Linked DNA regions of Macaca mulatta. The protein of the gene in region 4 purifies or fractionates together with the protein of the main gene of each other region. This does not show direct contact. Links are inferred from orthologs where the notes say so. Each region holds a gene or a part of one and is shown on either strand. Other genes may lie near its edges.

Evidence for each region. The genes of interacting proteins can lie anywhere in the genome.
Region 1: the proteins of XAB2 (region 4) and AQR fractionate together in Homo sapiens (co-fractionation; 3 studies listed by BioGRID and IntAct, with this or other methods). This does not show direct contact. The link is inferred for Macaca mulatta from reciprocal best matches to the Homo sapiens genes XAB2 and AQR.
Region 2: the proteins of XAB2 (region 4) and SF3A1 fractionate together in Homo sapiens (co-fractionation; 3 studies listed by BioGRID and IntAct, with this or other methods). This does not show direct contact. The link is inferred for Macaca mulatta from reciprocal best matches to the Homo sapiens genes XAB2 and SF3A1.
Region 3: the proteins of XAB2 (region 4) and PLRG1 purify together in Homo sapiens (affinity purification with mass spectrometry; 3 studies listed by BioGRID and IntAct, counting the BioPlex papers as one, with this or other methods). This does not show direct contact. The link is inferred for Macaca mulatta from reciprocal best matches to the Homo sapiens genes XAB2 and PLRG1.

Annotation. Positions count from the first base shown.
Region 1 is NC_133412.1:12,297,815-12,302,033, forward strand, and holds the start of AQR (RNA helicase aquarius), read right to left. Parts: upstream 2,801-4,219; 5' UTR 2,659-2,800; coding exon 2,584-2,658; intron 1-2,583.
Region 2 is NC_133415.1:21,188,072-21,192,295, reverse strand, and holds the start of SF3A1 (splicing factor 3A subunit 1), read right to left. Parts: upstream 2,801-4,224; 5' UTR 2,683-2,800; coding exon 2,620-2,682; exon of another isoform or gene 2,521-2,619; intron 1-2,520. UniProt on the Homo sapiens protein: Component of the 17S U2 SnRNP complex of the spliceosome, a large ribonucleoprotein complex that removes introns from transcribed pre-mRNAs.
Region 3 is NC_133410.1:163,143,580-163,147,647, reverse strand, and holds the start of PLRG1 (pleiotropic regulator 1), read left to right. Parts: upstream 1-1,268; 5' UTR 1,269-1,342; coding exon 1,343-1,351; intron 1,352-2,730; coding exon 2,731-2,837; intron 2,838-3,815; coding exon 3,816-3,958; intron 3,959-4,068. UniProt on the Homo sapiens protein: Involved in pre-mRNA splicing as component of the spliceosome. Component of the PRP19-CDC5L complex that forms an integral part of the spliceosome and is required for activating pre-mRNA splicing.
Region 4 is NC_133424.1:8,521,339-8,525,459, reverse strand, and holds the start of XAB2 (pre-mRNA-splicing factor SYF1), read left to right. Parts: upstream 1-1,321; 5' UTR 1,322-1,339; coding exon 1,340-1,390; intron 1,391-2,590; coding exon 2,591-2,739; intron 2,740-3,022; coding exon 3,023-3,146; intron 3,147-3,433; coding exon 3,434-3,631; intron 3,632-4,121. Other genes in the region: protein PET100 homolog, mitochondrial, read right to left, coding at 8-31, 195-281, 1,007-1,033. UniProt on the Homo sapiens protein: Involved in pre-mRNA splicing as component of the spliceosome. Involved in transcription-coupled repair (TCR), transcription and pre-mRNA splicing.

The DNA.
Region 1 (4,219 bases), on a different chromosome or scaffold from region 4:
ACCTGTAAACTGTGAAATTTAAACAAATATATAACTCTCTCTACATATTTAAAGAAACAGCATAGTCTTACTCATAGGGTTTTATTTTAAAACCCAATTATAATCTCTTTAAAAATAGAAAACTGGCAAGCACAAAGACTCAATATATTTATAAAAAGGTGACTGCAGTATCTGGCATATCAGAGGCACTCACAAAGTCTGATGGATAAATGGATGGACAAATGAAGCAAAATCTGAAATGTTACTTCTGTGAGGCTGTCCTCAACACTACCTGATGGCGACAATTGCTTTTTCATCTTCATTTTGTATATAACTCTTTATAATCTTACCTTTCTACATTATAAATATTTGATTGCTTATCCAACTTTCCTTCTCACTTAATTGGAATACTTAAGAGATGGGACCTGTTTTCTTTGCTTTCATAGCTCAGCGATAAACTGCACAGACAACACACTTAAAGAGCCTCCCAAGCAGTTAGGACACTGGCCCTGAGGAATAGCCTCTAAAAATATTACAGTAACTTCCTACTTAAATGACACCTTCCGGCCAGGTGTGGTGGCTCACGCCTGTAATCTCAGCACTCTGGGAGGCCGAGGCGGGTGGATCACCTGAGGTCAGGAGTTCAAGACCAGCCTTGCCAATATGGTAAAACCCCATCTCTACTAAAAATACAAAAATTAGCCGGGCGTGGTTGTGTACCTATAATCTCAGCTACTCGGGAGGCTGAGGCAGGAGAACCGCTTGAACCTGGGAGGCGGAGATTGCAGTGAGCCAACACCAAGCCACTGCACTCCAGCCTGGGCAACAGAGCAAGACTCCATCTCAAAAATAAATAAATAAATAACACCTTCCCAAATTACCAATCACTCTCCAACTCAATAGAAAATCTTCACCTCACCCCCAGTTATTCTGGGGAGGATCTTGGTTCATTGCAACCTCCGCCTTCCGGGTTCAAGCAATTCTCTAGCCTCAGTCTCCTGAGAAGCTGGGATTACAGGCATGCGCCACCACACCTGGATAATTCTGTATTTTTAGCAGAGACGGGGTTTCTCCATGTTGGTCAGGCTGGTCTAAAACTCTGACCGCAGGTGATCCACCAGCCTCGGCCTCCCAAAGTGCTGGTATTACAGGAATGAGCCACCGTGCCCGGTTGAAGATTTTAAGGACAGTCAGCCTTAGTGTAGTTCCCTGTAGTCCCCGCTACAAGGGAGGCTGAGGTGGAAGGATCACTTGAGCCCGGGCAACATAGTGAGACCCTATCTTGAAAGAAGAAAAGGAAGGAAAGGAAGGGAGAGATTTTAAGAAGGCAAGTGATATGATGAGATTTGCACTTGTATAAAATCACTCGGAAAGCAACATGAAGAATGGGCTAGAGGACAGCAAGAAGAAGAACAATATAACAGATTAGGATACCTTCGTCCAGGCAGAAAACAATGGCAACCAGGCTTAGGGTGACAGAGATGTAGAACACCAGATAGATTCCAAAGATACTCAGAATGTAGAAATGTAGGGATTAAGGGAGGATTCAAAATTTCTCCCTGGGCTTCTGCCCTGACAAATCTGTTGAGACAAGGAATAAAGAATAAAGAAGCAGGTGGGCATGATAACTTCTACACTGAACTACTTACACTCTTACCCAATTCGCAAATAAAGAGTAAGAATGAGGAATGATGCTGACAACCACAGGACTGTGTTTCCCTATCCAAAGCCAACTGTGGCTCACAATGCAAGATAGTAAACAGATTCTAAATGAACGCTCTCCAACTACAGAATCACTCTCTTCTTAAATGGGTCTATTTGGAGGTGTCTTGTCAGTTTCTCATAGCTGCTCAAAAACTCAGGACACTCTACGGACCAGGAAAAAGCCTACTCCTACTTGAAGAGGCAGTCCAGCATCACTCTGCTGCGAAGGCTGCTTGACAGTCTCAGATAGATTGGGGTGTTCCCTCCTCTCTGAATCAATTGCTCCTGAGGCAAACTCCAATACAGCAAAACTCATAGAGTAGTTTTCTTTTTATGTGTCTTTTTTTTTTTTTTTTTTTTTTTTTTTTGAGACGGAGTCTCGCTCTGTCGCCCAGGCTGGAGTGCAGTGGCCGGATCTCAGCTCACTGCAAGCTCCGTGTCCCGGGTTTACGCCATTCTCCTGCCTCAGCCTCCCGAGTAGCCGGGACTACAGGCGCCGCCACCTCGCCCGGCTAGGTTTTTTGTATTTTTTAGTAGAGACGGGGTTTCACCGTGTTAGCCAGGATGGTCTCCATCTCCTGACCTCGTGATCCGCCCGTTTCGGCCTCCCAAAGTGCTGGGATTACAGGCTTGAGCCACCGCACCCGGCCTATGTGTCTTTCTTAGGCCATGAACCCCTCAGGCCAGGGCAACCCATCCACCACGGTATGCCCAGCACCTAGCGTAGCTGCCGGCACGGAGCTCATACTCAGCAAAAAAGACTTGTGTGAATGAATTAACAAACGAATGCCTCCTCCGTGCTCCTAGTCCTGGAAAAAAAAAGAAAAAACCCCACCACCAGGCCTCGGGGCCACGACGTCCTTACCCCCTCACACATACACCAGACTCGCCCGAGCTCACCTGGGTCACGAACTCCGCGTTAATCTGGGACACCGTAGGAGCCACGATCTTCTTGGGCTGTGCAGGGGCTGCCATGGTAGCACGCTCCCCTCCACTCCGGTGGAAACGAAAGGACCGCCCTGGGCAGCGGCAAGCCTGGTCCACTTCCCCTAAGTTACGGCCGAGGCGCTTAACTCCGCGCTGAACAAACGTTGCGCGCCGGATATCCTCAGGCTTCAGAGTCCCATAGGGAACCCGTACTACAGCCCAAGCGTTCCCCGGGAAGCGGAATGGCGTGTAGCCGGAAGTTCATGCAGGCGTTGGGGCTGAGCTAGCGAGCCAAAAGCTTTGACCTCCTCTGTACGCGCCCTCTAGCGGGCGGCAGAGAGAAGACACCCCGCTGGCGGGATTAGGAGGGCAAGGCAGGGACCCGGTGGATGGTGTTGGATGGGGTTTCTCGTGGTTAGTGAGGAGCAGCGTGTGCGGTGAATGAGAATTTAGGTTTTTTTCAACCCCGAAGAAAAAACAAAACAAAACAAACAAACAAACAAAAAAACAGCCTGGGAATATGGGCTGGTTTTTAACTGCCCTTAACAGTGTTGTAGTTTAGTTTTGTTTTTCTTGAGACGGCGTTTCGCTCTTGTTGCCCGGGCTGGAGTGCAGTGGCGCAATCTCGGCTCACTGCAACCTCCGCCTCCCGGGTTCAAGCGATTCTCCTGCCTCAGCCTCCCGAGTTGCTGGGATTACAGGGATTACAGGCATGCGCCACCACACCCGGCTAATTTTTGTATTTTTAGTGAGATGGGGTTTCTCTATGTTGGTCAGGCTGGTCTCGAACTCCCCGACCTCAGGTGATCCACCTGCCTCGGCCTCCCAAAGGGCTGGGATTACAGGCCTTAACAGTTTTATGGCGGTAAAAACTGACATACCATAACCCAGCCGGGCGCGGTGGCTCATGCCTGTAATCCCAGCATTTTGGGAGGCTGAAGCTGGCCGATTGCCTGAGGTCAGGAATTCGAGACCAACCTCGCTAACATGGTGAAACCCCGTCTCTACTAAAAAATACAAAAAAATTAGCCGGGCATGGTGGCGCTCGCCTGTAGTCCCAGCTACTCGGATTCAGGAGAATCTCTTGAAGCAGGGAGGCAGAGGTTGCAGTGAGCCAAGATTGTGCCATTGCACTCCAGCCTGGTGACAGAGCGAGACTCGTCTCAAAAAACAAAAATAAAATAATAATAAAAATAATTGACATACAATAACCCACACATATTTAGGTTGTAAAATTTGATGCGTTTTGACATGAACATACATTTGTGAAACTGTTGCCAAAATCATGATAATGAGCCCCTAAAAATTTCCTCCTGCACTTTTGCAATCTGTACCTTTCACTATTCCCACCCACTTTCCAGGCAACCACTGATCTGCTTTCTGTCACCAAAGTTTGCTTTTCGTGAAATTTTATATAAATGAAATAATACAGTGCATGCCTTCTTTCACTCAACGAAATGATTTTGAGATGGATTCATGTTGTTGCATGTATCAGTAGTTCATTCCTTTTTTATTGCTTAACATTCATTCCATTTTACTGGCATACCACAGTTTGATAAACTATTCATCTGCTGATAGACATCTGAGTTGTTCCAAGTTCTTAGTTACT
Region 2 (4,224 bases), on a different chromosome or scaffold from region 4:
TGAAATTCCACTGGAATGTTCAGCATTAACTATGCCATAAGTACCAATATTTTTTCTCCAGCAGCTTCTTCCCCTTAGTAAACAAAGGGTCAAATCTCTTATCTTAGAAAAATGAAGTTTCTCCTCTGCCTCCATGTTCCTTTCTGCCGCTGCCTTCTCCCGCCCCATCCTCTGGCAGCTTAACATCCTGAGTTCTCTTCAGTTTGCTGATCCCACTTCCCTGCCTCCCATTTGGTCCCCATTCATTTTAAGTGCTCTTGACAAAGTCAAAAACGACTGCCCACAGCCATTATCTGGGTGTGAATGGTAACCACTCCTTCATGAAAACTCTCAACTCCTAGACCCCATTCTTACCTGTCTTCCCATCTTGCTCACCATTCCATCCAAGTTTCCTTCCTGGCCTGTTTCACCTCCTGCTCTGTGAAGTTGGAGATCCCCGCTCCCACCGCCCAATTCTGTTCTTGGTTCTCTTCTCAGTTTTGACAGTGTCCTCCACTTCCCCTCCTGCCTCTATACAATCTGGCCCAAACTGATGTCCCAGAACACTCTTGCGTACTGAACAGCTTCGGGTCCAGCTAACTACTGGGCACTTTCATCTCTAACCTCTTTCCTCAGGAATAGCTACTCAGTCGTCCATGCCACAAAGTTGGGGCTCCTCTCTCTTCCTCAGCTTCCACACTCAATAATAATAACATTGATCAAGTTGGGCACAATGGCTTGCACCTATAATCCCGGTGAGTCAGGAGGCTGAGGTAGGAGGATTGCTTGAGCCCAGGAATTCAAGGCTTCAGTAAGCTACGACTGCACCACTGCATTCCAGCCTGGGTGACAGAACGACACCCGGTCTCTTAAAAAAAACTTTTATCAAGCACTGAGTAGATTCCAGGTATTTTTCCCAAGCACTTTAAATATACTAATTCTTATAACTCTTATAAGAAGCCTATAAGATTAAGTACTCTTTTTTTTTGAGACTCTCTCTTGCTGTCGCCCAGGCTGGAGTGCAGTGGCATGATCTTGGCTCACTGCAACCTCCGCTTCCCAGGTTCAAGTAATTCTCTCCCGAATAGTGGGGATTACAAACATGCACCACACCTGGCTAATTTTTTTTACTTTTAGTAGAGACAGGGTTTTGCCATGTTGGCCAGGCTGGTCTCAAACTCCTGACCTCAAGTGATCTGTCTGCCTCGGCCTCCTAAAGTGCTGGAATTACACGCGTGAGCCACTGGGCCGGCCAAGTACTCTTAATATCTCCACATTACAGATGACAAAACTGAGAGATGGAGAGCTTAATGTCCAACTGGCAGAACCAGAATTCTAACACACCACTCTGGCTGGAAAGCCTGCCCACCCCTCTGCCCTAATCTAGGCCAGGCCTTCAGCCCCTTGGAATAGCGTGACTGGCCTCCCCTCCTCGTAGTGACTCTCCACATGCCTGCCTACCTGAATTTCTGAAACACAAATGTCACTATTTGGCTTAAAACTCTCCCTTTTCTTCCCATTGTCTACAAGGAAAAGTTCAAATCCTAAGAAAGAATTGCATCTCCTGTCACCACGCTCTATGCTTCAACACTTGTTCATTTACTCTTGATCAGAGACACCGTTTGATTCTTAACTCAGTGTCTTTGTGCATATTATCTGGCCATTACCTTATTTTCTCCCAACGCCTGGGAAAATGCCAGGGACACACAGGTACTTAAATATCTGTGGAAAAGGCATGGCTTCTTCAGTCATGTCCCCCTCATTCCAAACCCAAAGCAATGATCAGCATATATGCTCAATAAATATTTGCTGGATGAATAAAGGATGTTATTTCCCTTCCCTAGTCACCTGCCTGGCAAACTCCCATTCCTTCTTCTAAAAGAAATTTACCTCTCACTCCCGTGGGCTTCCCTACCTTAATATCCCTTCTACTCCAGCAAGCAATGTTGACTAGATTTGTACCTGAAACTTCTATCACAGGGCATATCACACCGTACTACAATGGTTTATACACATTTGAGATTCGAGAGGTTTATTAAGGGCGGGCTGACACTGTATCATTGACGGCCATCGGAACAATAAACATTTGGTGAGCATTCTCGTGTATCTGTCTTCTCGTTAGCCTGTGAGCTCCCCGTGCCCCATTCATTCCGGTAACGTGGGAGCGTGGCACGGTGTCTGGCTTGGGGCAGACACCGAAATAGATGCTGAGAATTAACATCCAAAGATGTACCGCCCAGGCTGGGAAAGTGGGCATTACTGGGGAAAGGCTGGGGCCGGTGGCCCCAACTGCCACAGAAGATCACAGGATGGGCTGGATCAGCGCCTCTCACACTTACAAATCAATCACCTTAGGATTTTGTTCAAATGTAAGATCCCTATTTAAAAGGTCTAGGGCGGAGACTCCACATTTCTAAGCTCTCGGCTCGTGCCGACGCGGCTGCTCCGCGGACCACTTTGAGAACCCCGTTCAGAGCAGCTGGTTTCGTTACCAGAACCACCACCATAGCGCGGGAAGCGCGCAGCCTCCTGGGATTTGCAGTCCCTCCAAGCCCTTCATAGCGGCCGCTTATTCCCGCTCAAGTAAGTAGCGCCCAGGCCCACGCTCCGGCTGCAGGTTGAGGGGCGGGGGAGAGGTACCTGTTTGGGCTCGGTGGCCACGGGCGGCGGCGGGGGCACCGCCTGCACGGGTCCGGCCGGCATGACTGCGACGCTGAGGGCTGCCAGTCCGCCTCGGTGTCGGTGAGGAGTGCCGCCTCAAGACAGCCTCCCCGCTCGAACAGTACGACGAGCTCGCAAAATGGCGGCAGCCGAGCGAGTTGTGGCCGCGAAGGTAAGACTGACGCACTTCCGGGACCGCCCCCTCGCCGTGGCGCGCTTCCTGCTCCTCCCCGCGGGCACCGCGGCGTCCGACGCCGTTGTCAAGGCAGCGGCTGGAGCTCCGGGCTAGGGGTTTCCGGGGTTCCCGGGAGCCGCAGGCGCGCCGGGGGCAGTTCCCGGGGCTGACCGGATACAGAGGCTGAAACCGCGACGCCGAAGACAGGTGAGATGTTCTACGTCACCCGCCGGACCTCCGCCGCACTCAGCTCGCGCCTCCTTTACTCTACAGTGCCTCGCTCAGTGCCAGTGCCTCGCTCCCTTCGACACCGCCTTCCAAGAGCCCAGCTCCCTCCCATTGGCCTCTCATTTCGGAGAGCCCCTGTGCCCTAAGGCTCGCCGCCTCAGAGCCCCGCTTCCCTATTCCCTTAGTCCCCCCTTTCATTTCAGGCCCACATCCTCCAAGCCGCTCTTCCAAATCCTACGCCCTTAATTCCCTTTTCCCATAGGCCTGCCTTTTCTTGCTTCCACCCCCTGCCTTCCGTAGTCCTGATCTCAAGCCCCACTGGGGCCTCCCTCTCAAATCAAGGCTGCTGCTTTTTCTTTCTTTTTTGTTTTTTTCTGAGACAAGGTCTTGTTCTGTCACCCAGGCTGGAGTGCAGTGGCGCGATCTTGGCTCACTGAAACCTCCGCCTCCCGAGTTCAATCGCTGAGTTCAAGCAATTGTCCTGCCTCAGCCTCCCGAGTGGCTGGGACTACAGGCGCCCACCACATCCGGCCGTGTGTGTGTGTGTGTGTGTGTGTGTGTGTGTGTGTTTTGTAGAGACGGGGTTTCACCACGTTGGCCAGGCTGGTCTCGAACTCCTGACCTCAAATGATCCTCCCGCCTCGGCTTCCCAAAGTGTTAGGGTTACAGGCGTGAGCCACCGCGCCCGGCCAGTTTTAAAATTTTTTTTGTAGGGACGTGGGAGGACGTCTCCCTATGTTGCCCAGGCTGGTCTCAAACTCATGGAGTCAAGCAATCCTCCCACCTGGCCTCCCAAAGTGCTGGGGTTACACGCATGAGCCATCACTCAGGGCTGCTGCTTTAGGCTTCACCCCTCACTCTCACAGGTGCGCCCCTGCAAGCTATGCAGCTCGCTCCCCAGAGGCCTACCTCGACTCCTGCCGGCTTTCTCTCCCTCTCCTGAGATCCCCACCCCCTTCCTCCCCTCCTCAACTCCGGAAAGCCCGGAGCTGGCTGGGAACCTTGCCTGGCTTTCAGTTTCCTCACCTGTGAAATGAGGGAGTGATAGGAAGGGTTGCTCTCTCCAGTCTTCCCCCTCCCCCGCACACATCGTAGTTGTGTGTCATGGTTGTTATTAATGTAGAATAATGATAGCTAGGATGTATTGGTCATTTGCTATGAGCCGGATCCTGTGCCCAACA
Region 3 (4,068 bases), on a different chromosome or scaffold from region 4:
GGCCGAGAGGGGCAGATCACCTGAGGTCAGGAGTTTAAGACCAGCCTGGCCAACATGGTGAAACCCCGCCTCTACTAAAAATACAAAAATTAGCCGGGCGTGGTGGCGGGCGCCTGTAATCCCAGCTACTCCGGAGGCTGAGGCAGGAGACTCGCTTGAACCCGGGAGGAGGAGGTTGCAGTGAGCCAAGATTGCGCCATGGCCCTCCAGCCTGGGCGACAAGAACAAAACTCCCTCTCAAACAAACAAAAAACCATGACCTTAATGTTTTTAATGAATTTCCAAGTGACGTTGATTTACACTGCTATTCTTTTGCTAGATTGTTTCCCCCTCTCAAAGTGTATGCAGTACGCTGTCAGGACAGATCAGTGAAACTGAAACAGGGCCAGTAAAATGTTTTGTCTATTTAAGTTTGCAAATGCCCAAGTCCATCCATTTTTCTTTTTACATAGAAAAATAATTAGGTAGGGTTGATCAAAACCGGAGATTTTACCAGGGTAGGAAGCAAAAATACCAATACTTGGCACAAGGATATGTATAAATAAAAATGGCTAAAGTCTCCAATTGTGTCTTTCTTCTACCAGCTTTGAAAAGCTGTACCCTGGCATTGTTGAAGCCACAATAATCAGCAGACAACTAGGAAATGGCCAAGAGCTATGTAGCGTTGAGAAGTTAAAAAAAAAAAAAAAATCTATTAGCAGAAAATGAATATGGGTTTTTCTTATATCTACATGTCAAAATTTTCCAAATTAAAACAGCCATTCCTCAACATTCACTCAGCAAGTGTTTACTGAACTGTTTAAGAGAAATTGTTTTCAGGTGTTAAGCCTACAAGTGTCCAAGTGCTTCTCGCCAGGATTGGAACCAGGAGACAGAAAGCAAGCAGGCGACCTCCAAAGAGATCAAGGCAGCGGAAGCGCCTTAGATAGAGCCCACGGGAGTTTGCTCTCCAGACGCTTAGGCTCTCTGAATAAAAAGCATTAAACTCCGGGGAATACAGCATGAACAACCAGGGCCCCAGCCAAGACATTGAAGGCTGAAGGTAAGGCAGAAAACATAATTCGAAGACTTCTTCAGAGGAGCGAGTGAAATCCTCCAGTCAGGCGCTTCCAGGTGTCTCCCCTCTACAGCCTCGAGCCTCCGCCCTAGGGGCGGTCCTGAGGAGGGAGACCCGCCTCTTGATCCCAGAGGGCCGGGGGAGACTAGCGCGCGTGCGCAGAGCTTGCATCACATCCGCCGCCTGGCCTCCCAATTCCGGAAGGTGCAGCACAGTTGTGGCGGCGGGTACTGCGTTAGTGATTAGGGTTTCTTCCCTGCCGGAGGTGGGATACGCGGTAGCATCATGGTCGAGGTAAAGTGACACTGGGACTCTCAAGAGTCGTTTGTCTCTGGACTGTTTTTCTTTGGCAGTGGGCGTGGGGGATTGAGAGTGCTTGGAGTCCGGAGAGAAAAGAGGCTACGAGGGAAGCTGTTTGGCCAAGGCCGGGTGGTCTCTTCATCGGGTTTTCGGGGAAGGGGTAGAAGCCGGATGAGAACCCGAGTCGGAGGTTCAGTCCGGGCGCTAAGCCTGAGATAATTCGTCCAGTCCTCGTTTGACTCTTGGGAGCTGGAAACTGTCCTTGGAGGCGGGGCCTCTGTTGGTGTTCGACCACTGGTACTCGCCGCCCTCGGGGCAGTGTCAGTGATTCTGTGCCCGAAAAGATTGGCGGTCTTCTCTATCTTGCGTTCAAGTCGTCTCTTATTTCAACTCTACTCCCAGAAAAACTTGCCATTCTTTACATCTTTCCCTGGCATGAACAGCCAGCCATTCTGTTAGCTGGTCTTATCCATGTTACCCCCCATGTTTATTGATTCCGTTCACTTTTCTCCGTATCCACTGCAGTCCACCTTAATTGAGACCAACATCATCTTTCACCGGGCCTGGTGCATTAGCTCCCCGTTGATTTCCTTGCTTCCATTTTGTTCCATAAGTTGTTCTGTTTAAAATGTAAGTTGTTCATACCTTTCTTGTTTAAAACCCTTTACTGACTGTGTTGCTAGAAGAAAACATAGGCTGTTGTAATAGTCTAAAATACCTTACCTAATCTGGACCTTGTCTACCCTTGCAACCACAAAGCACCATCTCATCCACCATATACAGCTGTGCCGCCCTTCTTGTATTATTTCAGTTAATAATTTTTTTACATGACATTTTTTTACATGACATTTCCATCAGCCTGGTTCGTTTTTATCTCTGTTTTGTGCAAGGCTAACTCCCTTTCTGCTTAAATATCACTTTAGTGAAGTCTTTCACAATTATACTTAGTCCTTCGTTTCCTGACCCAGTGCCTTGCTTGTTGCCCTCATAGCACTTATCAAAATGTGGAATTATTTTACTTTTTATTTGTCTGTTTCCTCTTGAGCACAGGGACCATGACTACCTTTTATCATTCTATTGTGAGAGTCTAGCACGATACCTGCCAGACACACAGTAGGAGCTCAGTAAATATTTATTGAGTAAATGACTAAACTATGGCATCACTCAGTTGCTATACCTGAGGTTCTAGCCAAAGAGGAGCTTCCTCCTCTTCTCTGAACTTGACTCCTGTAGCTCGCAACAAGTAGCTATGGTGAGTGGTATAAAGCTTTTTACATATTTAAACATGTGAAGTGTATAATCAATCTGACGTTAGGTTATGATTTGTGTAATTTGTAGATAGGTGTGTAATTACTTTTTTTTTTTTTTTTTAGGAGGTACAGAAACATTCTGTACACACACTTGTGTTCAGGTCATTGAAGAGGACCCATGACATGTTTGTAGCTGATAATGGAAAACCTGTGCCTTTAGATGAAGAGAGGTTGGTATAGTTTTTTTTTCAATTGCTGAAATATTTAACATTCTAATACTGGGGGAAGAGAGCAGGAAGAGGGAGACCTTTAAAGATAAACTGGCAATACTCATGGGCTAATTCAATAATGAGTGGTGTTTTGGCATAATTTAAGCTGATTTAACTTTTTTTTTTTTGGCCTTTTACAGTAAAAGTTCCATTAATTAATTGCATTTTACAAATACCCAGTAAATAAGAGAGTCCCTTTTAGGTATTTTATTTTATAATCAATCACTTTGTATGTGCTTTCAGCTTCCCGCTGCTCTCAGAGCCTTGCTGAGCTGAAATTGTACCTGGCCGGTACCTCTACTCCCATCTTTTCTCGTTAGTATGATGAAGATTTTTGAGTGGTGGCATATTTTTGGTTCTACATATCCAGCTCCAGTCTGGGATTGCATTATGTGCAGTGTTCCTTCTTTGTCCTTTACCCTTTTAAAATCGACTTAACTCCTCAAACAAGCATTTATATTTAATTTGTAAAGTAGACTATTTTTAAAAGTAATATAAGTGCATTTCTTTTTAAAATATTGAACCAATTAAGTACTTTTCTTAGTTCTAACTAACCTGTTTGGATACATCTAGTAAAGGTTGCTATAGAGTTTTTACTATATTTATATTTTGAAGGAAAGCGTATTGACTTTGAGGTTTCTTAAAGGGTATGTTAGTTTCTATATATCTTTCAAGCAGACCCTTGATAATTTATCATAAAATATTTTCTATTAGGTAACAAACTAAAATATTACTTAGGTTTAATGAATGCTGTGTGGTGGAATGTGAGCAAAAGAACAGATATGGTGGGGAAATGCACTTGGAAATTTTTGATTCTTTTAAATACTACTTAAAATCTTACTAGAAACTTTTCCTACATGATTGGGCAAACTTAAGCTGTCTAAGTGTTTGTTTTAAAGTATTTATGGATACGTTCTTATGTTTATAATTTCTAAATAGTCACAAACGGAAGATGGCAATCAAGCTTCGTAATGAGTATGGTCCTGTGTTGCATATGCCTACTTTGAAAGAAAATCTTAAAGAGAAGGGTCCTCAGAATGCAACGGATTCATATGTTCATAAACAGTACCCTGCCAATCAAGGTGAGTATGGTATTATCAGAAATGTCAGACGTATGTGTGAATTTTAAAAATAGAAAAATAAAATGTGTTATTTTTGCCCCTGCTGGCAGGACTTAGGTGTGGTCATACAG
Region 4 (4,121 bases):
CACTTACCTTCTCAGGTGTCCACAGCTCCCTCTGTAAGGAAAAGTCACAACTGGGACACAAGCCAAGAGCCTCCAGAGCCCCACACCAGGGTAGGGTCAGCTCATGGGAGGCAGACATTGGCTCCCAGCAGATTGGTGCCCCGCACCCTCTCCCACCCCTGGAGTGAACCCTCGAACACTCCTCTTATGCCCACCTTGCGCTGTATGACGTAGCCCTCAAACCACTCGGCCTGATTGGAAACCCAGAACATAGCCACAGGGAAAGTGAGGTAGAGTATCATCTGGAATGGCAGAGGGTGGGTGAGGTGACCGCCCCCCTCGCCCCAAGCAATGTGCAGAGGCTGCTCAGAGCCTGGGGGACCCATCCTACTGCAGAGTCCAGAAGCGCCTCGTTAGGGCCGACCCAAGAACCCCAGAACTCCCACCAAGGGTACAGAAACCTCGCATCCTAAAACCTAACTTCTATAATCCAGGAGGCTTCATTCCTGAAAGTCCCCCCTGAGCTGGAGTCTTCCTCTCAAAGACAGACAGACATACAGAGGCCCGAGCTACAATCAAAAGCATCTCCTCGAGACCTCATTACTCATCCCCACTTAAGATCCCGGGAGCACCCCCAAACCCAGGAGGCGTCACTCTTCAACTTCACTTCTCGAAGTCTGGGAGTCTCCCTATCATAGACACCCACCCACCACAAGCCCGAGAGCTCCCCCAGGATCTTAAGTCTTCCTTCTTTAGAGCCCCCTTCTCAGCCAACCCCTCTCTGAGGTCTTTCCTCGGACCAGCCCTCTCACAGCCCCCAAACCCAGAAGCCCAAATCTGAGAACCCCCCCACCCCACAACCCAGCGTCCCCTCTCCTGGATTTCCAACCAGAAAGGTCCCTCTCAAATCTTAAGAGCTTTCTCCTTGGAGCACCCTCTTTCTTTTAAGACCCCCATTTCCAGCCTCATCTTCAGATCCAGGAAGATCCCCTGCTCAGCCTCCCAATCCACTCCTGTGTCCACTGACCCGAAATATCTCCAGCTTCACCCCCATCTCGTTTCTCCCGGTCAACAAAGCAACTTCCGCCCAAAGCCGACCCTCCAGCAAGACAGAAGCTCATTGGTGTTTTGCACGCTCCATTGCTGAAGCTGATTGGCCAATGTGTATCCTGATGACGTATATTCGGGCGTCTCTATGTTGCTTCCGGTCGCTGGCGTCTTCGAAACGAAGTCAATAACGTGAGCCTGTCCGTCAAAAAGGATTTAACCAATAGAAAACGGGCCTGGCCCGGAGGGGCGGGCCGTCAGTGGTAGATGTCATAAGCGCGCGACTCTCGCCTGTACCTGGGCATCCAGGAAAATGGTGGTGATGGCGCGACTCTCGCGGCCCGAGCGGCCGGACCTTGTCTTCGTGAGTCCACAGAGGAGCCAGGGGTGGCCTGCATTGGGGCATTGGGACCTGGACGCCGCAGGGGATCGGGGCCGGGTCGCCAAGGGGATTTAGGCCAAAATTGCCAGGCCAAGGATTGGGGACCCTAACGGGCCAGAGACCGGATTGTGATGTCCACACCTAACTGGCCAGGAGTAAAAAATACGGTGTTGTGTCTTAGGGTATGAGTAGAAAACTACTGTCGAAGGAAAGCGTCTAGCCTCCCGAGCCAGGGGCGGAAATGGGGGCTTGCAGGGAATGGGAGAGGAAGGAGACCGCATAATTGAACGTTGAGAAGTGAAGACCGGTGTCTGAAGTAAAGGCGTGATTACGAGGCCAGGGCTCCGGTTTCTGGAATGAAGGCTTGGTTTTCTAGATAGCGGTCTCTAGGTCTGGACTGCGGCATGACAGTTTCTGGGGGTGGTGGCCAGGCTAGAAGAACCCTGGTGTTGTGGAGCTTGTCAGGCAATGGCCAATGAAATGCTTATTGTCTGGAGTAGAGGCGTGACATCTTCACCAGATTCTTGGTGTGCAGAGTTAAAGGCTTGGCTTCTGGTGTATAACTGCTCTTATGAGATAAAGTCCTAGCTTTTAACTTCTGGGGCAGAGTTGAGCTAGATGCTGGCTAGTGGGATCCTGGGGGTGGGGCCAGTGGCTTGAAATCTGGACCTGAGAGCCCTGGTGGCTGGGGTGAAGATCTGGTCGTCTGGGCCTGGAGTGGAGATGGGTCAGTTGGTGACAGTGGGAGTCTGAGGGGCCAAAGGCCTGGTGTCTGGGAAGAGGCATGTTTTGAAGAAGTGGGGTCTGGTGTCCAGGACAGAGGCCTGGCATCTGGGCCAGGGCCTTGGTAGCTAAGGAGTCTGACCATTTGGGGCAGAAAGCGAGTGGTGATGTGGACTCATGCCTGGCCCAGAGCCCTAATAACTGAGAAGTCTGATGATTTGGGTTCAATTTTGGGTAGTTGAATTCTGAGGGGTAAAGGTCTGGGCCAGTGTCTTGGTGTCTGGGCATCTGGTTTGGTGCCTGGTTTGGTGCCTGGGCATCTGGTGACCTGACTTCCTTGGTGGGTGGTGGGATCTGGGTAAAAGTCCAGAGTTTGGACCTGAGCCCCAGTAGTGGGGTGGTGCCGCACGCAGGCTCTGAGGGTAGACCTCTCTTCTCCCCATTCCCTGGCCCTGGCAGGAGGAAGAGGACCTCCCCTATGAGGAGGAAATCATGCGGAACCAGTTCTCTGTCAAATGCTGGCTTCGCTACATCGAGTTCAAACAGGGTGCCCCGAAGCCCAGGCTCAATCAGCTATATGAGCGGGCACTCAAGCTGCTACCTTGCAGGTGGGAATGGCTCCAGCTGCCCTGCCCACCAGCCCCTGCCCCCCCGGTCCAGTTATAACAAAACTGCCAAGTAGGTCCCAGGTGATTGCTTTGTGTCCCATCACTGACCTGTACATCCCTTGATGGGTCAGCACACCTCCTCTGATGTCCCAGTCTGTCCCTGTCATTGCTGAGACATGTCACCCCTCCCACACCCACATTTGCCAACAGGGGCAGGGCAGATGGTTCTGGGGGGGGGTCCATAAAGCTGACCGATCAGCATCTGTCCCCTCCTGTTCCCCAGCTACAAACTCTGGTACCGATACCTGAAGGCACGTCGGGCACAGGTGAAGCATCGCTGTGTGACCGACCCCGCCTACGAAGATGTCAACAACTGCCATGAGAGGGCCTTTGTGTTCATGCACAAGGTCTGGGGCTAGGCGAGGGGATAAATCGGGAGGGGGCGCTCAGTCCATGGTGGTGGGTGGGGCAGGGACAGGGGCTGGGCTCAGCATGTTAGGGATGGGGGCCTGGATTCCTGTTGCTTCTGTGCATGGGAAGTTGGGCTGGACTCAGTCCTGGAGCTGGGGGTTTCTGGGTCCTGCTGCATTTATGTGGAGGCCCCAGGTGTGACTCAGCCACAGGACATCAAGTGTCTGTGGGTAGGCCATGGAGTCCGTGGCTTAGCCCCAGCTGCCTCTCCCCACACCCCCAGATGCCCCGTCTGTGGCTAGATTACTGCCAGTTCCTCATGGACCAGGGGCGCGTCACACACACCCGCCGCACCTTCGACCGTGCCCTCCGGGCACTGCCCATCACGCAGCACTCTCGAATTTGGCCCCTGTATCTGCGCTTCCTGCGCTCACACCCACTGCCCGAGACAGCTGTGCGAGGCTATCGGCGCTTCCTCAAGGTGAGCCCAGCAGGTACGCTGGTTCCCCAGGTTAGTTTCCAGAAACTGCCTCACTGTGACACTAGCTCCGTATAGGATGTCACCCAGCAGACTGGATGTGGGAAGAGGCACCAGGAGATGCATATGTCTTGTCCGTGATTCATGTCTTTATTTTCCAAATAGTTTGCTCACGCCAGTTTCACATTAGGCATAGAGATGGGTGCTGAGGACAGTGTGGCTAAGACACTCCCTACCTGCATGGAGCTTTTAGTCTAACTAGGAAGACGGATGTATGTGAGCTGATGGCATGAACTAGAGTAAAACCACAGCCATGATGAGGGCCAGGAATAGGAGGTGGGGAGAAGCAGGCAGGGTGGAGAGTGGAAGCATCAGCTGGGCGGGAGTGGGGCATGGTTTGCTCAAACTTACAGTATCTGTTCTGTGACATTTGGATTCTAAGCTGGACCAGTCAGGACTGAGGCTGGACCCATGGGGCCCAGGCTGGACACTA